Saccharomyces cerevisiae S288C: one gene and its partners. Changing the gene in region 1 together with any one later gene gives a genetic interaction. Each region holds a gene or a part of one and is shown on either strand. Other genes may lie near its edges. The genes, in order: TRM732, FRS2 and SUL2.

The links.
Region 2: mutations in TRM732 (region 1) and FRS2 together harm fitness more than expected from each alone (negative genetic interaction), as found in Saccharomyces cerevisiae (one large-scale study listed by BioGRID).
Region 3: mutations in TRM732 (region 1) and SUL2 together harm fitness more than expected from each alone (negative genetic interaction), as found in Saccharomyces cerevisiae (one large-scale study listed by BioGRID).

What each region holds. Positions count from the first base shown.
Region 1 is NC_001145.3:783,982-790,737, reverse strand, and holds TRM732 (tRNA methylation protein TRM732), read left to right. Parts: upstream 1-1,854; coding exon 1,855-6,117; downstream 6,118-6,756. Other genes in the region: TPS3 (trehalose 6-phosphate synthase/phosphatase complex subunit), read left to right, coding at 1-533; TIF11 (translation initiation complex factor eIF1A), read left to right, coding at 899-1,360; ROY1 (Roy1p), read left to right, coding at 6,457-6,756. UniProt on the Saccharomyces cerevisiae protein: Together with methyltransferase TRM7, methylates the 2'-O-ribose of nucleotides at position 32 of the anticodon loop of substrate tRNAs.
Region 2 is NC_001138.5:92,869-96,817, reverse strand, and holds FRS2 (phenylalanine--tRNA ligase subunit alpha), read left to right. Parts: upstream 1-1,807; coding exon 1,808-3,319; downstream 3,320-3,949. Other genes in the region: GAT1 (Gat1p), read right to left, coding at 1-852; BUD27 (prefoldin-like protein), read right to left, coding at 3,442-3,949.
Region 3 is NC_001144.5:321,644-326,786, forward strand, and holds SUL2 (sulfate permease), read left to right. Parts: upstream 1-1,900; coding exon 1,901-4,582; downstream 4,583-5,143. Other genes in the region: XDJ1 (Xdj1p), read left to right, coding at 1-437; GEP5 (Gep5p), read left to right, coding at 654-1,535; NYV1 (Nyv1p), read right to left, coding at 4,870-5,143. UniProt on the Saccharomyces cerevisiae protein: High affinity uptake of sulfate into the cell.

The DNA of each region.
Region 1 (6,756 bases):
AAGTCGAGAGGTTACCTGGTTCATACTACAAAATCGCTGATTCTATGATCAGATTCCATACAGAAAACGCTGATGATCAAGATCGAGTCCCAACTGTTATTGGGGAAGCCATTACGCACATAAACACCTTATTTGATGACAGGGATATTCACGCTTATGTGCATAAGGATATTGTCTTCGTTCAACAAACGGGGCTAGCCTTAGCCGCCGCTGAGTTTTTGATGAAATTTTACAACAGTGGCGTCAGTCCTACTGACAATAGCAGAATATCTCTATCAAGAACATCCTCTTCGATGTCCGTCGGTAATAATAAGAAGCATTTCCAAAACCAGGTAGATTTCGTTTGCGTTTCCGGTTCGACATCACCTATTATTGAACCATTATTTAAATTAGTGAAGCAAGAGGTTGAAAAGAACAATCTAAAATTTGGTTACACCATTCTTTACGGTAGCTCAAGATCCACTTATGCCAAGGAACATATCAATGGTGTCAATGAACTTTTTACCATCCTTCATGACTTGACAGCCGCCTAAGCGATCATTTTCCCTCCTGTACTTTCAAAATGTTCTCTTTCTTATTCTTCAGTTATAGTTTTTACGAGCGATTATAAATATAAAAGTACGATCTTCCTTTTACGTATATATGTATATACAGCACGATAAATTACAAACAAGTTTCAACTAACAATGTGGGTTATTTCTCATATTGTTAATGAGATCTTATAATAATCATTATACACGAACGCTATTTTTCACTTTTTTTTCATTTTTGTTTTCGCCGCAAGAAGTAATAGTGAAAAATTGAAAAAAGCTTCAATTTTAGTTTGCTGAAAGAAACCTTTACTTATGTAGAAGGTGTACTTGCAAAAGCACTAGTGTAATATAGAGCAAAGTTCATCATGGGTAAGAAAAACACTAAAGGTGGTAAAAAAGGTAGAAGAGGTAAGAACGACTCTGACGGTCCAAAGCGTGAACTTATTTATAAGGAAGAAGGCCAAGAATATGCTCAAATCACCAAGATGTTGGGTAATGGAAGAGTCGAAGCCAGTTGCTTTGATGGTAATAAGAGAATGGCCCATATTAGAGGTAAGTTAAGAAAGAAAGTCTGGATGGGACAAGGTGATATTATTCTTGTTTCCTTAAGAGATTTCCAAGATGACCAATGTGATGTTGTCCACAAATATAATTTAGATGAAGCCAGAACACTGAAAAACCAAGGTGAACTTCCTGAAAACGCCAAAATTAATGAAACAGACAACTTTGGTTTCGAATCTGATGAAGACGTTAACTTTGAATTTGGTAACGCTGATGAAGATGATGAGGAAGGTGAAGATGAAGAACTTGATATTGATGACATTTAATTTAGGCCGAACAAGTGTCCTCAATATCTTCTAATGCGTCAACTATTCATAATTTATTTATAATTATATTTTTTAGTCCATCATAGGAAAGGGTTTTCTTTTTACTATATCGAAATACTTATATATAGATATCAAAAAAAGAATAAAAATGAAATACCTCAAGAAGTCGTTTAATCTTCCTTCTAGGGTTTCTTTCAAGCGGACGTTAAGGAGACGTAATAAAAATTTTCTCGCACGAGAAATTTGAGCAAAGAGCACGTTGCGAATACGTTTTATCCATTCATCGTTTTTAATTTATTACCTTTTCTTTCGATGCTGTTTATTGTCACTCATGAGTGCTTCCGTTTTTTCCATCGAAAATTTACTTTTTTAGACTGAAAAGAAAATGAAAAGTTAAAATAAATTTTTACCAGAAAATGCTCATCGCAGGAAAATGACAATACTATTGTGAGCTTCCCGAGGTACACATTACTTCATACTGAAAGTTTCAAAAAATGACTACGGATGTGCAATTTTCAAGTCAGGAAATCGAGCTTTTCCGTGTCAAAGAATTCTTGATTGCTAATAATCCAGCAAAGATCAACAATGAAAATAAGGATGCTGTTTTAACTCAGATTGAGCATGATTTCAGGTATTTAATACAGTATATCAAGGACGGATTACCGAACTTAAATGAGTCCACAAGGTTAATTTTTCCAGATACCTTTTCGATCTGTTTACTAAGGAGCCATCAAATAATTGCAAGCAAAAAAATTGACTCTCAAGAATTTTTATCGGCGGTAAAAGAGCAACTCTTAACTGAAGCGAATGCAAATATTATCTTTGAATATGTTCTTGACTTTTGGGCTGATGGTGGAGCCCCACTGATGAATGCCTTGAGAGATTTATTCAGTAAACTACTGAACTTATTGAAAATCACATATCCTATGTCAACCTTGAAGGATGTTTTATTTAATTGGATGAATGAAATATTAGAAGTACCATCTACGTTGCGTGTTCAGTATTACTTGATTGATGCCCTTTCTTCTGATTTTGACCTTTATTATATTATAGAAAAAAAGCCTCATTTCATCGATAACTCTTTTTCATTAATGAACTCTGATTTGCTAGCAAATTCGGTAGGTAAATGCATTGTTAGTTTGCTGTTAAACATTTACGAAAAGCATTTCAAAAAGAACGAGTCTTTTGTACAAGAATGGATACAATTATGGAAAAGTTGTGCTTTAAAGTACATTCACGACAAACAATACACCAAATCCATTAATCTGTATATTATGATTCCATTATTCAAAAATATGCCAAACTCGGCCTTCACACTTTTCCTAGAATGTATGTCTAACAAAGACCCATCACTTTTGCTCTCACTTTTAAAGATTGGCCAAGAATTGGGGATTGAAGAAGAACCATTTTGTGATAATAAATATACCACTGTAGATTCTGTTAACAAACTCATAGAGCAAGATGAGTATAAACTTCAGGTATTTGAAATACTGACCTTTTCGACAAAAAAGTCAAAGCCTATTCGTCCCTTCGTCTTCAAAACTATAAAACAGTACCTATATGTGTTCTTCGTGGACACTGAACTTGAACGCAGAAATTACTTTTGCAGTTCGATGAAACACTTTATATTTAGAACCAGAGACTGCGCATACTCTTTAGCTAGGGATGCCAGAAAGCTTAAAAAGGCTGAGAAATTTCCGGACGAACAGAGGGAAAAGTTGGCGCAAGTTGAGGAGGCTAGAGCCTTTTTGGTTTGGCTATGCAATTTTATAAAATATAATTTGGCCCCTGGTACTTTATATCAGGCGAACGTGACCTCATTAAAACTTATGCACATTCTGATCAAGTCTGGTGTTGATAAATCTACTCCACAAAAATTTTTAGACAACCAAAATAAGAGGGAATATCCTTTTTCTATCCCAATTTTACAGGATGTCACATTTTTAAGGTTGCTCATTGACCTTTTGGTTAGTAATTATGCTGACGTGCGCGAATTATCTAAAGAAATGCTATTTATAATGATAAGCGCTGATGAATCTAGAGGTCTTTTTTTGGATACCTTAGACGCAAATGCTTTGAAGTGGACTGCAACCTCTCTTTTAAGTGACTATGAGAAAGGTGATGCTGGAGCTACCGTATATGAGTTCATATTCACAGTCATGGGCTCTCAAAGAAGCTTCATTGACCAGACAATTGATATATTAGCGCAGATGGTACAAAATTTGCAAAATGACAGCATTGGTTGTGCAGAAAATTCAATCGGTCCTCACTTTGCTGCACTAAGCTTGATTTTGAATAAGTTTAACTCTGAAGAAAACCATCAAGATACTTCAAAAATAATCTCAAAATTAATAAATCTTGTACTCAAGAGCTGGGAAGCAACGAGAAATGTAGTGTGTCATGATTCTGCCCATGGAATACTACCTGAAAAATATGCTAATTGTGGTGTACCGGACCAAGTTATAATAAGTCACGCATTTAGGGCGATAAAAGAAGCATCATATTTACTTGAAACAATATTAAAAAAATACCCTTTAACAAGAGATCAATTAGACAGTATCGGCGATCTTTTTATTGTTCAGCTTTCTACTATTCGTCATAGTGGCGCCTTCCAAGCCGTTTTACCGGGGCTAAAGGCATTTTGTATTCGTTGTCAACTTGAATTTCCCGCTATTCTGGAAGAACTTTTAAGCAAGAGTGTAAAATCTTTAAAATCCAAAACTCAACATATTACAAGAAGGTCAGGAGGCTTGCCTTTCTTGGTCACAACCGTCTTAAGTGCAGAAGTTACCAAAGGGAGACCTTTGTTACAAAAAACTTTTGAAAACTTACTACTCGTTGCAAGGTTACCAATTCCTCCCCATCAAGATGAGTTTGATTTACCACAGGTTAATGCTATTAATTGTATAAACGCAATCTTTGTTGAACCGAAGCTCTCTGTACACTGTACGTCATTTGTCTCAGAGGCATTAGAACTAGCTTTATTGAATTTCGACTGTGATATATGGGCTCTAAGAAACTGTTCTATCATGCTGTTTACCTCCTTGCAAAATAGAATTTTTGGAAAAGTGGGCAGAAGCGTTAGTGCAAAATTATTCTTTACCAAATATTCTGGCTTGAGGCAACTGCTTTTGAATATTCTAAACAGTTCTATTGCTCAATATTCGGGAAGTGAAAGAAAATCATATCAAATTGAAAGCATTTTCTTGGTCCTTAATGTGCTACTGAGGTTACGGCCTACAGCTGGCTATACTGGTCTAAAAGAATTCAACGTTTCTGTTTATGAATGTTTATCAAATGAGAACTGGAAGATCAGAGATATGGCCTCTAGAGTATTGCATATGCTGTCGGAAAATTTTGAAGAAGAGATAAGAAAATTACTTGACTTGGCTTCTATCGCGAAGCAAAACCAGTTACATGGACACTTACTAGCACTCCAACAACTAGTACCACAATACCTTTCAGGAACTAGAGATATGGAGTTGATTCAAAGGATACTTGAAAAGAAAAGGATGCTTCTACTAGAGAACAAGTGCTTTATCACTAAAAAGGCCTACTTAAAATTGACCTGCTGTATATTGGAAACATGCGACATACCTGATTCTATTTTAAAAGATTATATCAGCACTTTGCGGAACACATTTATTGCTGAAAATAACGAATATGTTGTGGATGGTAGCAAACAGCTATATCTTGCACAAATCTTAGACATGCTCTTAAAATATGAGGATAGTATATATCTCGATGATATTTGCTTATTAGGATTGTATTCTCCATTTTATGAGGCTCAGCTCAGTACACTACAGTACATGAATACTAACTTTCACTGGGAAACTACAAGAAACTCAGAATTTCTTGAACAACTACAATTATTACTCAGGGTTCCAGATTTGCTGCCTATGGCTAAAGCTTTAGTAGTGAAAATTCTCTCAAGAAAAAAGAATACTTTATCCCTGACGACCTGCACTGATCTCCTAAAAACAAATAATAGTGAAGATACAAAACTTGCTGCCGTTTCATCACTAAGTGCTAAATTGTCTTCGCAAACCTTTCACCAGGTATGGAACTTGTTACAAGGATTTTTCGCCGATTCTTGTTCAAAAGATTTTAGATTGGCATCTTTAGAATGTTTAACTGCTTATCCAGAAAGTTGTAAGAACTCCAGAATACTATTACAACTGTACAACTTCTTATGGGACGATGATTCTGAAATAAGAGAAAAGGCTTCTTTTTATTTGAATAAGAACTTTATTCAAACTGCAGACTGGGAATATAACAGGAACACCAGTGTGACCGCTCTTATATTCACAAAAAAGTTTGTTGACGTATTCACAAGTTCTGAGGTGGTAGAAGAGTTGTGTTTACAGTTGTTTCAATATCTAAATGAATATGATATGTTTGCTGCCGAAGAATCGGCGAAGAATTGTCTATTTACTATAGAAAAGGATAACCAGTTCATCAACGAACTACAAAAGGCAATGCATATATTAAATATGATAAAATTGACTGGAAGGGATATCTCAAAGTGTTACAAAGACCAGATACATCACCTAAAAAGTGCTCTATTGGAGCACTTCAACACCGAGGATTTTAAAGATTCCCCACTCGGCTGGTGCTCTAATGCTGAAATATTTTCAAGAATAACGCTTTTAAAGGAACTGATTCAACATTATTCTCCTTCTGATTATGAGAATTTTATCAATGTTCTGACTAAACATTCTGTTCATCCCCTAATTATCAGTTATTCCCAATTATAAATAATGAATATGTACAGATATATACTTTGCATATAATCTGATTCATCTCTAACCTACTTGTGGATTTAGTGACGAGATTCATTGTGGAACCTATTACAAAGCATGTCGATTTCTATTCTAAATACAATGATGGAACTTGATTTAATTTCTTTACCGTTGTCATTTTCTTTTGAATTTTTTCCACCTCTTTTTTTGTTGAAAAATGTTCATGGATGGAAAATTAAAGGTGTGCCCTATTACAAAAGCAAGTTGTACCCCTTTACTAACTCTCTAGTCAATTTGAACTATTGTGAAAACGACAGTTGTGCTCACATGATATAACAAAAGTAATACTGACAAATGGCATTCCAAGATCAAGATATATTCATAGTGTTCTCGCATGCCTCCTTATTTCTTAATCAAAATGATTTATTAAGCCTAAGTCTAACATCCAAAAAAATGCATGACATGATTGCAATCCCTCGTCTTTATAGCAATATTCACATAACTAAGAATCCTGTTTTAAGAACAAACAAATGGTTTTTGGACGGGGGAAAAACTTATGTAAGTGGTTATAGATCTGTTCTGAAAACCGGTGACAAGAATGACATATTTTTATATGATAGAATTGAAAGGTTGTTGGAGACATCGCATTTAAAA
Region 2 (3,949 bases), on another chromosome or scaffold:
CTTCAAAGCAGGTTTCTTCTTCCTCACGGAGGAATTTCTTCGCGAGCCAGGCTTCACTATAGATGGGGAGGGGTTTCTTCTCAGTAAAGGACTATTGGTGTTTGTACTTGCACTTGTGTTTGTGTTTGTGTTTGCGTTTGTATTATTGGCGATGCTGGGACTGTTATTATTATGACTACTATTATGACTATGATTATTATTAATGCTATTATTATTTAAAAATGGTAAGTTATTGGTGAAAATAAAGTGGTCATCGAAGGAGGACGAGCAGGAAGTGTCCAGAAAATTAGGGAAACCAGAAGCATTATGTGAAGCACGCTGGGAAGCGCTGTCCATGTCGTTGAGCAGGTCTGAGTGCACAATGGAGTGCGTCTCCACGTCATCATCATCGTCATCGTCGTCAAACACATTTTCAAAAACAGAAGATCCGTTGAGGTTCATGTCTGAAAGGAAGAATTGCTGGTTATCAGTATCGGTGTCATCGAGGTCGTTGTTGCCTGGGCCAGCGGCGTTCACGCCGCTGGCAAAGGGCGAGGCGGAGAAGTCCATAATAGAGTTAGAATGTTGCATTATGCGGTTAATTCGATGGAAAGACGTGCGGTTATGCAAACGCCAAGAAAGGTTCAAAATACGGTTAGAATCGGGCAATATTTTCTGGGCGCTCGAGTACAGGTCCCAGATTTCTTTGTTTAAATTCAAGTCCGGGTCGAGGTTCGGGACTCTGTTCGTGCTCATAGTTATGTTCACTACCGTGCACCGTGTACAATGTATATATATATCTATATATATATATGCACATGCGATGAACAGAACAGGGGAAGGGCGGAAAAGCAAAGGAAAGAAAACGTGCATGCTAATACCGGGGCCGGGAGTGGCACACACCTATATATATGTGGCTGGGCCGGGCACCGCAAGTGTGCGACTCATAGTGCTGTTATTATTGTTGCTCTGTATTGTGGTGGCTGTTAATACCAGCGGTAGCTGCACCGGCACTAACACTATGCTGCGCTGCTTCACATCGTTCTGCTATGTGTCGGCCTGTGGTCGGACGCAATGATTTGTTATCTTATCTTATCTTATCTTCTCCCTTATCAGCCCGTTGTTCCTGCTTTGTTGACGTTGGGCACTGGGTGCAAGCACACCTGTTATCGGCCGGACCAATCAGTCATGCACCCACACACCGGACTGCGTATAGAAGATCCGGGTTGCTGGTTGAAGTTGGATTACCGCGAAATGAGAGCTAGCAGACGGGAAAAGGAGGTATTACGTTGTGCAGAGACAGGGTTGTGTGAGGACACCGTAATACTGATGGATGCATCTATAATGAAATAGGGTAGGTTTTTCAAAAAAAAAAAAATATTTTTGCACCACGTAGAACTCAGAAGTATTGGGCAAGCTAGGTTTTGATTATGGCGCCAAGTACGTCTTCGCCGGCTAAAATCGGAAAGCGGGACCGGTCGCATTTGGCCATAAGTTAGGTGACCCGGCTTTGGTATCGTTTTATCAGGGGTTTACCCGGTCGACCATATTGAATCAAACAAAGAAAAGAGGCAGGAAAAACAGAAAAAAAAAATTTTTCTGTTTTTCTCTACCTCTTTTCTTTTCAGTAAACTTTGTTCCTCTCTACGTGAAAAATGCTTGAAAAATTAATAAAACGCATTGCTGTAATCTTGAACGTACGCAGTACTTGTGGTTAATGCACATGTAAAGTTGTGAATACATTTCCATATATATACATATATATATATATCTTACGTATATATACATTAAAGGCACCCCCCTCCCTCTCTCACCCCCTAACGTAAAGATGTCTGACTTCCAATTAGAAATTCTAAAAAAACTAGATGAATTGGATGAGATCAAGTCCACACTGGCAACTTTCCCTCAGCACGGCTCTCAAGATGTTCTTTCCGCTTTGAACTCTTTGAAAGCCCACAACAAGTTAGAGTTTTCCAAGGTCGACACGGTTACGTATGACTTGACCAAAGAAGGTGCTCAAATTTTGAATGAAGGTTCGTACGAAATTAAACTAGTCAAGCTCATCCAAGAGTTGGGTCAACTTCAAATCAAAGATGTGATGTCCAAACTGGGTCCTCAAGTTGGTAAGGTCGGTCAGGCTAGAGCTTTCAAGAACGGCTGGATCGCCAAAAACGCCTCAAACGAGCTTGAACTCTCCGCAAAATTGCAAAATACCGATTTAAATGAGCTTACTGATGAAACGCAATCTATTCTAGCGCAAATCAAGAACAACTCGCATCTGGATAGCATTGACGCCAAGATTTTGAACGACTTGAAGAAAAGAAAGTTAATTGCTCAAGGTAAAATCACAGATTTCAACGTTACCAAAGGGCCAGAGTTCTCGACCGACCTCACCAAATTGGAAACCGATCTTACCTCCGACATGGTCTCCACCAATGCATACAAGGACTTGAAGTTCAAGCCTTACAATTTCAATTCTCAAGGTGTGCAAATATCTTCAGGTGCTCTTCACCCCTTAAACAAAGTCAGAGAGGAATTTAGACAAATTTTCTTTTCCATGGGATTCACAGAGATGCCCTCGAACCAATACGTCGAGACAGGTTTCTGGAACTTCGATGCCCTTTACGTCCCACAACAGCATCCTGCTCGTGACCTGCAAGACACTTTCTACATCAAGGACCCACTAACCGCTGACTTGCCCGATGACAAGACATACATGGACAATATCAAAGCCGTTCACGAACAGGGGAGATTCGGGTCCATCGGTTATCGTTACAACTGGAAGCCAGAAGAATGTCAAAAATTGGTCTTGAGAACTCACTCCACAGCCATCTCTGCCAGAATGCTGCACGATTTGGCCAAAGATCCAAAGCCCACCAGATTGTTTTCTATCGACCGTGTTTTCCGTAACGAAGCAGTTGACGCCACCCATTTGGCCGAATTCCACCAGGTGGAAGGTGTTCTTGCCGACTACAACATTACTCTGGGTGACCTGATCAAGTTCATGGAAGAGTTTTTCGAAAGAATGGGTGTCACCGGTTTGAGATTCAAGCCTACCTACAATCCTTACACCGAGCCATCAATGGAAATCTTTTCTTGGCACGAAGGTTTGCAAAAATGGGTCGAAATCGGTAACTCTGGTATGTTCAGACCAGAAATGCTCGAGTCCATGGGTCTACCAAAGGATCTAAGAGTCCTTGGTTGGGGGTTATCCTTGGAAAGACCTACCATGATCAAATATAAGGTTCAAAACATCAGAGAACTGTTAGGTCATAAAGTCTCTTTGGACTTTATCGAAACCAATCCTGCTGCTAGATTGGACGAAGACTTGTACGAATAAGCTCAGCAGTTCCTCTAGTTTTATATCGTCTGTCCCCAATTTTGTAGTAGTTATTGTACACAAAACAAATATATACGTATATGTTAATATAGATTCTGATTTACTTTCTGTCTCCATATGGGTTATGGTTTACTGTCCATATGGAGCCGTTGAGAGCGGAAACGACTTGTCTTGACCGGGTTCCCGAACTTATCAATAGGCTCCAATTCGCCTTCAGTGTGTGCGGCGGGTGATGATGATTGCCATTTCGACGCGGTAGCTTCTTTCAACCGTCTGTACTCTATAGCAACCTCTTCCTGTAGCCGGCCCGGATGTAGTGCTACTTCGTCCTCGTCATTTGTGTAACTTTCAGGAAATTCATGCTCAATGATATCATTCATAACATTGCCATCATTTTCCTCCTCCTCCATCGTCACTGGCTTGTTTTCTAGTTGAAAGTCTCGAATTTCGTCACGCAGCAACTCCACCTGCTTATTGTATTCTTTGAAATCCTCGAGCTTTTCCACTATGGTTCCTGGATCTTCCTCTAAATCGTCGTCATATAACCCCAATGAATATGCCTTGACCATATCATCCAAGTTTCCACCTAGGGCGTGATAATCGACATTTGTAATTCTAACCGGCTCACTC
Region 3 (5,143 bases), on another chromosome or scaffold:
CCTTGACGGGATTTGAGAAATTTTTGACAAAAACCTTCGACGACAGGTTACTAACATTGAGCGTTAAACCTGGCAGAGTAGTAAGACCTGGTGACACCATCAAAATCGCCAATGAAGGTTGGCCCATTTTAGATAACCCTCATGGCCGGTGCGGCGATCTGTATGTTTTCGTTCATATTGAATTTCCACCAGATAACTGGTTCAATGAAAAATCAGAACTACTAGCAATAAAAACGAATCTGCCGTCATCTTCATCTTGTGCCTCACATGCGACTGTAAATACTGAAGATGACAGCAACCTGACTAACAACGAAACTATATCAAATTTCCGGATCATTCACACGGACGATCTTCCAGAAGGGATAAGGCCGTTCAAGCCAGAAGCACAGGATTCAGCGCATCAGAAAGCAAGAAGTTCGTACTGCTGTATCCAATGATGGCATCAATAACTTTTTATTCTATTTTTTTTTTTTTTTCATAAGTTATCCTACCTGTATATATGTATATATATGAAATTCATTTACTGAATGCGGTGAAGAATGAAGTCTTTCGCACCTTCAGTAGAAAAATAGGAAGAATCCCCATCGCGGCGGACATAAAGCAAGCATACAAAGGCCTTCTATCAGAACAGCGATTGCGAACTTGGAGCAACAATGGCGTCCCAGGTTAACGCCTTATTACTGCCGGTCATAGAGTCTACGCCGCTTCATCAAATAACCAAGGTAGCATTGACGACCACACTCACAAGTAAACAAAGCGATTACAAGTTCAAAGAAATAGCCGTGCCGTTAACAAAATCACTACAACTGTACGAGAAGGCGCAAAGAAGACAAGATTTAAGGGCAAGCTTAAAAGCACTGGAGAGTATCATTTACCAAACGCACTTCCAATGGAATAACCCGCTCCCACGACATGCGCATCTCTTCCAAAAACACTACCACTTTCTACTGACTCACTGGCCATTTGAGAACCACAGAGACTTGGTAGATTCCATCGCTGTAAACAATGGGAAACTAAATTCAACGTCTTCAAGGAGCGTCTGGCTGAAGGCGGATTGGATAACACTGTTTAACGTTAAAAACCCTTGGGTCCAAACGCCGCCATCGTTAATGCGTCTGAGTGGGACAGATCTTGATACCTTCACACCAGAGAGGATATTCCTGATAAATTCTCTTGGAAACCACTACAAATTTTTAATAGCGAACAGTCATCTAAGCTACAATCACAAAAAATACCCCTCCCCTGGCGTGCAAATTCCTGTCAGGAACGCTCTTGGCGAAGTTTCTCCGGCCAAACAAATTGCCCAACTTTTCGCAAGACAGCTGTCTCATATTTACAAGAGCCTCTTCATAGAAAACCCCCCGCTCTCTCCTGAGAACGAGCTGGCATTGACTGCCGTCTTCTATGACGAGACTGTAGAGCGACGCCTTAGAAGGCTCTATATGCGAGCTTGTGCAAGGGCATATACGACTACTAATGCCGACTCCACCACGGAGCCTTTGATGTTTCATTGCACCCGGTGGGAAGTTGATTAGTTGTTGTTGGCTGTTATACTGGAGTAAATGTCACGTGCCACTGTGGCCGTGTCAGGTCACGTGAAGAGAGAAATTCGGCCACAGTTGTGGTCCTAAACAAGGACTGAAAAAGATCGCAGAAACTAGCAACGTCGGATAGCGGTATGGTTGAACCAAAGTCCAGTTTTTAGTCATAGCCGGTTGAGGGATGATCTGCCGTTCAGTGTTCTGCGTTCAATAATACGCATATATATATATATCAAGGTATCAACACAATACTTGAACAGGTTAGGCTCGTACTAAAGCCTGGAAGTTTTTATCTTTCTGTAACATTTTTCTTTCTTGAGGTGTGTGTGTGTATAGATTAGCAGGGAATTATCTAAGATATGTCCAGGGAAGGTTATCCAAACTTTGAAGAGGTAGAAATTCCTGACTTTCAGGAAACTAACAACACCGTTCCAGATCTTGATGATTTAGAATTAGAGTATGACCAATATAAAAATAATGAAAATAATGACACGTTTAATGATAAGGACTTAGAGAGCAATTCTGTAGCAAAGCACAACGCAGTGAACAGCTCAAAGGGCGTAAAAGGCTCGAAGATTGACTACTTTAATCCTTCAGATGTCTCGTTGTATGACAATTCCGTTTCCCAATTTGAAGAAACAACGGTATCGCTAAAAGAGTACTATGACCACAGTATACGATCTCATCTCACGGTGAAAGGAGCATGTAGTTATCTTAAGAGTGTTTTTCCCATCATCAACTGGCTACCACATTACAATTTTAGCTGGTTTACTGCGGATCTTATTGCAGGAATTACCATTGGCTGTGTTCTCGTGCCGCAATCCATGTCATATGCACAAGTCGCCACGCTACCAGCGCAGTATGGGTTGTACTCCTCGTTTATTGGTGCTTACTCCTACTCTTTTTTCGCTACATCAAAAGATGTTTGTATTGGGCCCGTGGCTGTCATGTCTTTGCAGACCGCCAAAGTCATTGCGGATGTCACGGCAAAATATCCTGATGGAGATTCTGCCATAACTGGTCCCGTTATTGCAACGACTCTAGCGTTACTATGTGGTATCATTTCGGCAGCAGTTGGCTTCTTGCGTCTAGGGTTTCTTGTCGAACTGATTTCCTTAAATGCAGTCGCTGGATTTATGACTGGATCCGCGTTTAATATCTTATGGGGTCAAGTTCCAGCACTAATGGGTTACAATAGTTTGGTTAACACGAGAGCTGCCACCTATAAAGTGGTCATAGAGACCTTGAAACATTTACCAGATACCAAACTGGACGCAGTTTTTGGGCTAATCCCGCTTTTCCTTCTTTATGTTTGGAAATGGTGGTGCGGAACATATGGACCAAGGTTGAACGATAGATACAACTCCAAAAACCCAAGGTTACACAAAATTATCAAATGGACATATTTTTACGCTCAGGCTTCCAGAAATGGTATCATTATTATTGTATTCACTTGTATTGGTTGGGCAATCACAAGAGGCAAATCTAAATCGGAGAGGCCCATCAGCATCCTAGGCTCAGTTCCATCCGGTTTGAAAGAAGTCGGGGTTTTCCATGTTCCACCAGGATTAATGTCTAAGCTTGGTCCAAATTTGCCTGCATCCATTATTGTGTTATTGTTGGAGCATATCGCTATTTCGAAGTCTTTTGGTAGAATCAACGACTATAAAGTCGTCCCCGACCAAGAATTGATTGCTATTGGTGTCTCGAACCTTTTAGGTACTTTCTTCAATGCTTACCCAGCGACTGGTTCCTTTTCAAGGTCTGCTTTGAAGGCTAAATGTAATGTCCGTACGCCGTTATCTGGTTTGTTTTCGGGTTCATGTGTTCTTTTAGCATTATATTGTTTGACCGGCGCATTCTTTTACATTCCAAAGGCTACCTTATCTGCAGTTATCATTCACGCTGTATCTGATCTTTTGGCCTCTTATCAAACTACCTGGAATTTCTGGAAGATGAATCCATTGGACTTCATCTGTTTCATTGTCACCGTCCTAATAACGGTATTTGCCTCTATTGAAGATGGTATTTATTTTGCCATGTGCTGGTCATGTGCAATGCTCATTTTAAAAGTGGCTTTCCCAGCGGGAAAATTCTTGGGTCGTGTGGAAGTCGCTGAAGTTACTGATGCTTACGTCAGACCGGACTCCGATGTGGTTAGCTACGTGTCTGAAAATAACAATGGTATTTCCACTTTAGAAGATGGTGGTGAGGATGACAAGGAAAGTTCCACCAAATACGTCACAAATTCCTCCAAGAAAATAGAAACAAACGTTCAAACAAAGGGCTTTGATTCTCCATCTTCTTCGATTAGCCAGCCAAGGATAAAATACCATACTAAATGGATACCGTTTGATCATAAATACACAAGAGAATTGAACCCGGACGTTCAGATTCTCCCCCCACCAGACGGTGTTCTTGTTTATAGGCTATCAGAGAGCTACACCTATCTCAACTGTTCCAGACACTACAACATCATAACCGAAGAAGTTAAAAAAGTTACCAGACGTGGTCAATTAATTCGCCACAGAAAAAAATCTGACCGTCCATGGAATGATCCTGGTCCATGGGAAGCACCTGCTTTCTTAAAGAATTTGAAATTCTGGAAGAAAAGGGAGAACGACCCTGAATCCATGGAAAACGCGCCCAGCACCTCAGTCGATGTTGAAAGAGATGACAGGCCATTGCTGAAAATACTATGCTTAGACTTCTCACAAGTGGCACAGACAGACGCTACGGCTCTTCAATCATTGGTTGATTTGAGAAAGGCCATAAATCAATATGCAGATAGGCAAGTTGAATTCCACTTTGTGGGTATCATTTCACCATGGGTGAAGAGAGGTTTAATTAGCAGAGGATTTGGTACTCTGAACGAAGAATACAGTGATGAATCCATTGTTGCCGGTCATACAAGTTATCACGTCGCCAGAGTACCTCAAGGCGAAGAAAATCCTGAAAAATATAGCGTTTATACCGCTTCAGGAACAAATCTACCTTTCTTCCATATCGATATCCCAGATTTTGCTAAATGGGATATCTAGCCAATGCATTTACAATGGACATGCAAACATTTATATCATCTCTTTTTTTCTATATTCCTAAACCAAAAAGTTTTCCCCCTTAAAAGTATACATTTAATATCATAATGAGATAGACACTGTTTATATAATAAGAAATAATAGGTAGGATGGTGCCATCGTGAGCATATACATACCTATAAATATTTACCTTATTTTTATTTTATTTTTCTCTTCCTCTCAGGAACAAAAGAAATACAACCGTTATTAATGTTATTGTCGTGGGACAGCTCCCCTTTTTTTTTATTTACTTACCACAGATAGAAAAACATGAAAGCAGCACTTACAAATAGTATAATAGTGAAAGTTAATAACGTAATATTTTTGACCTTCTGCCACCACATTATTTCTTTTATATTGACCGCTTTGCGCCTAAATTTATTACTGCTGCTATTTAGTTGGGAAGTTTTATCCACCAATAAAGAAACTCTTTCTTGTCTCTCCAAGAACTTGTCGATGTTATCGTTCATTATCTGGATGACGTCCTTTATTTGGTCTTCGGTGGCATCCCCGATGTCACTTATA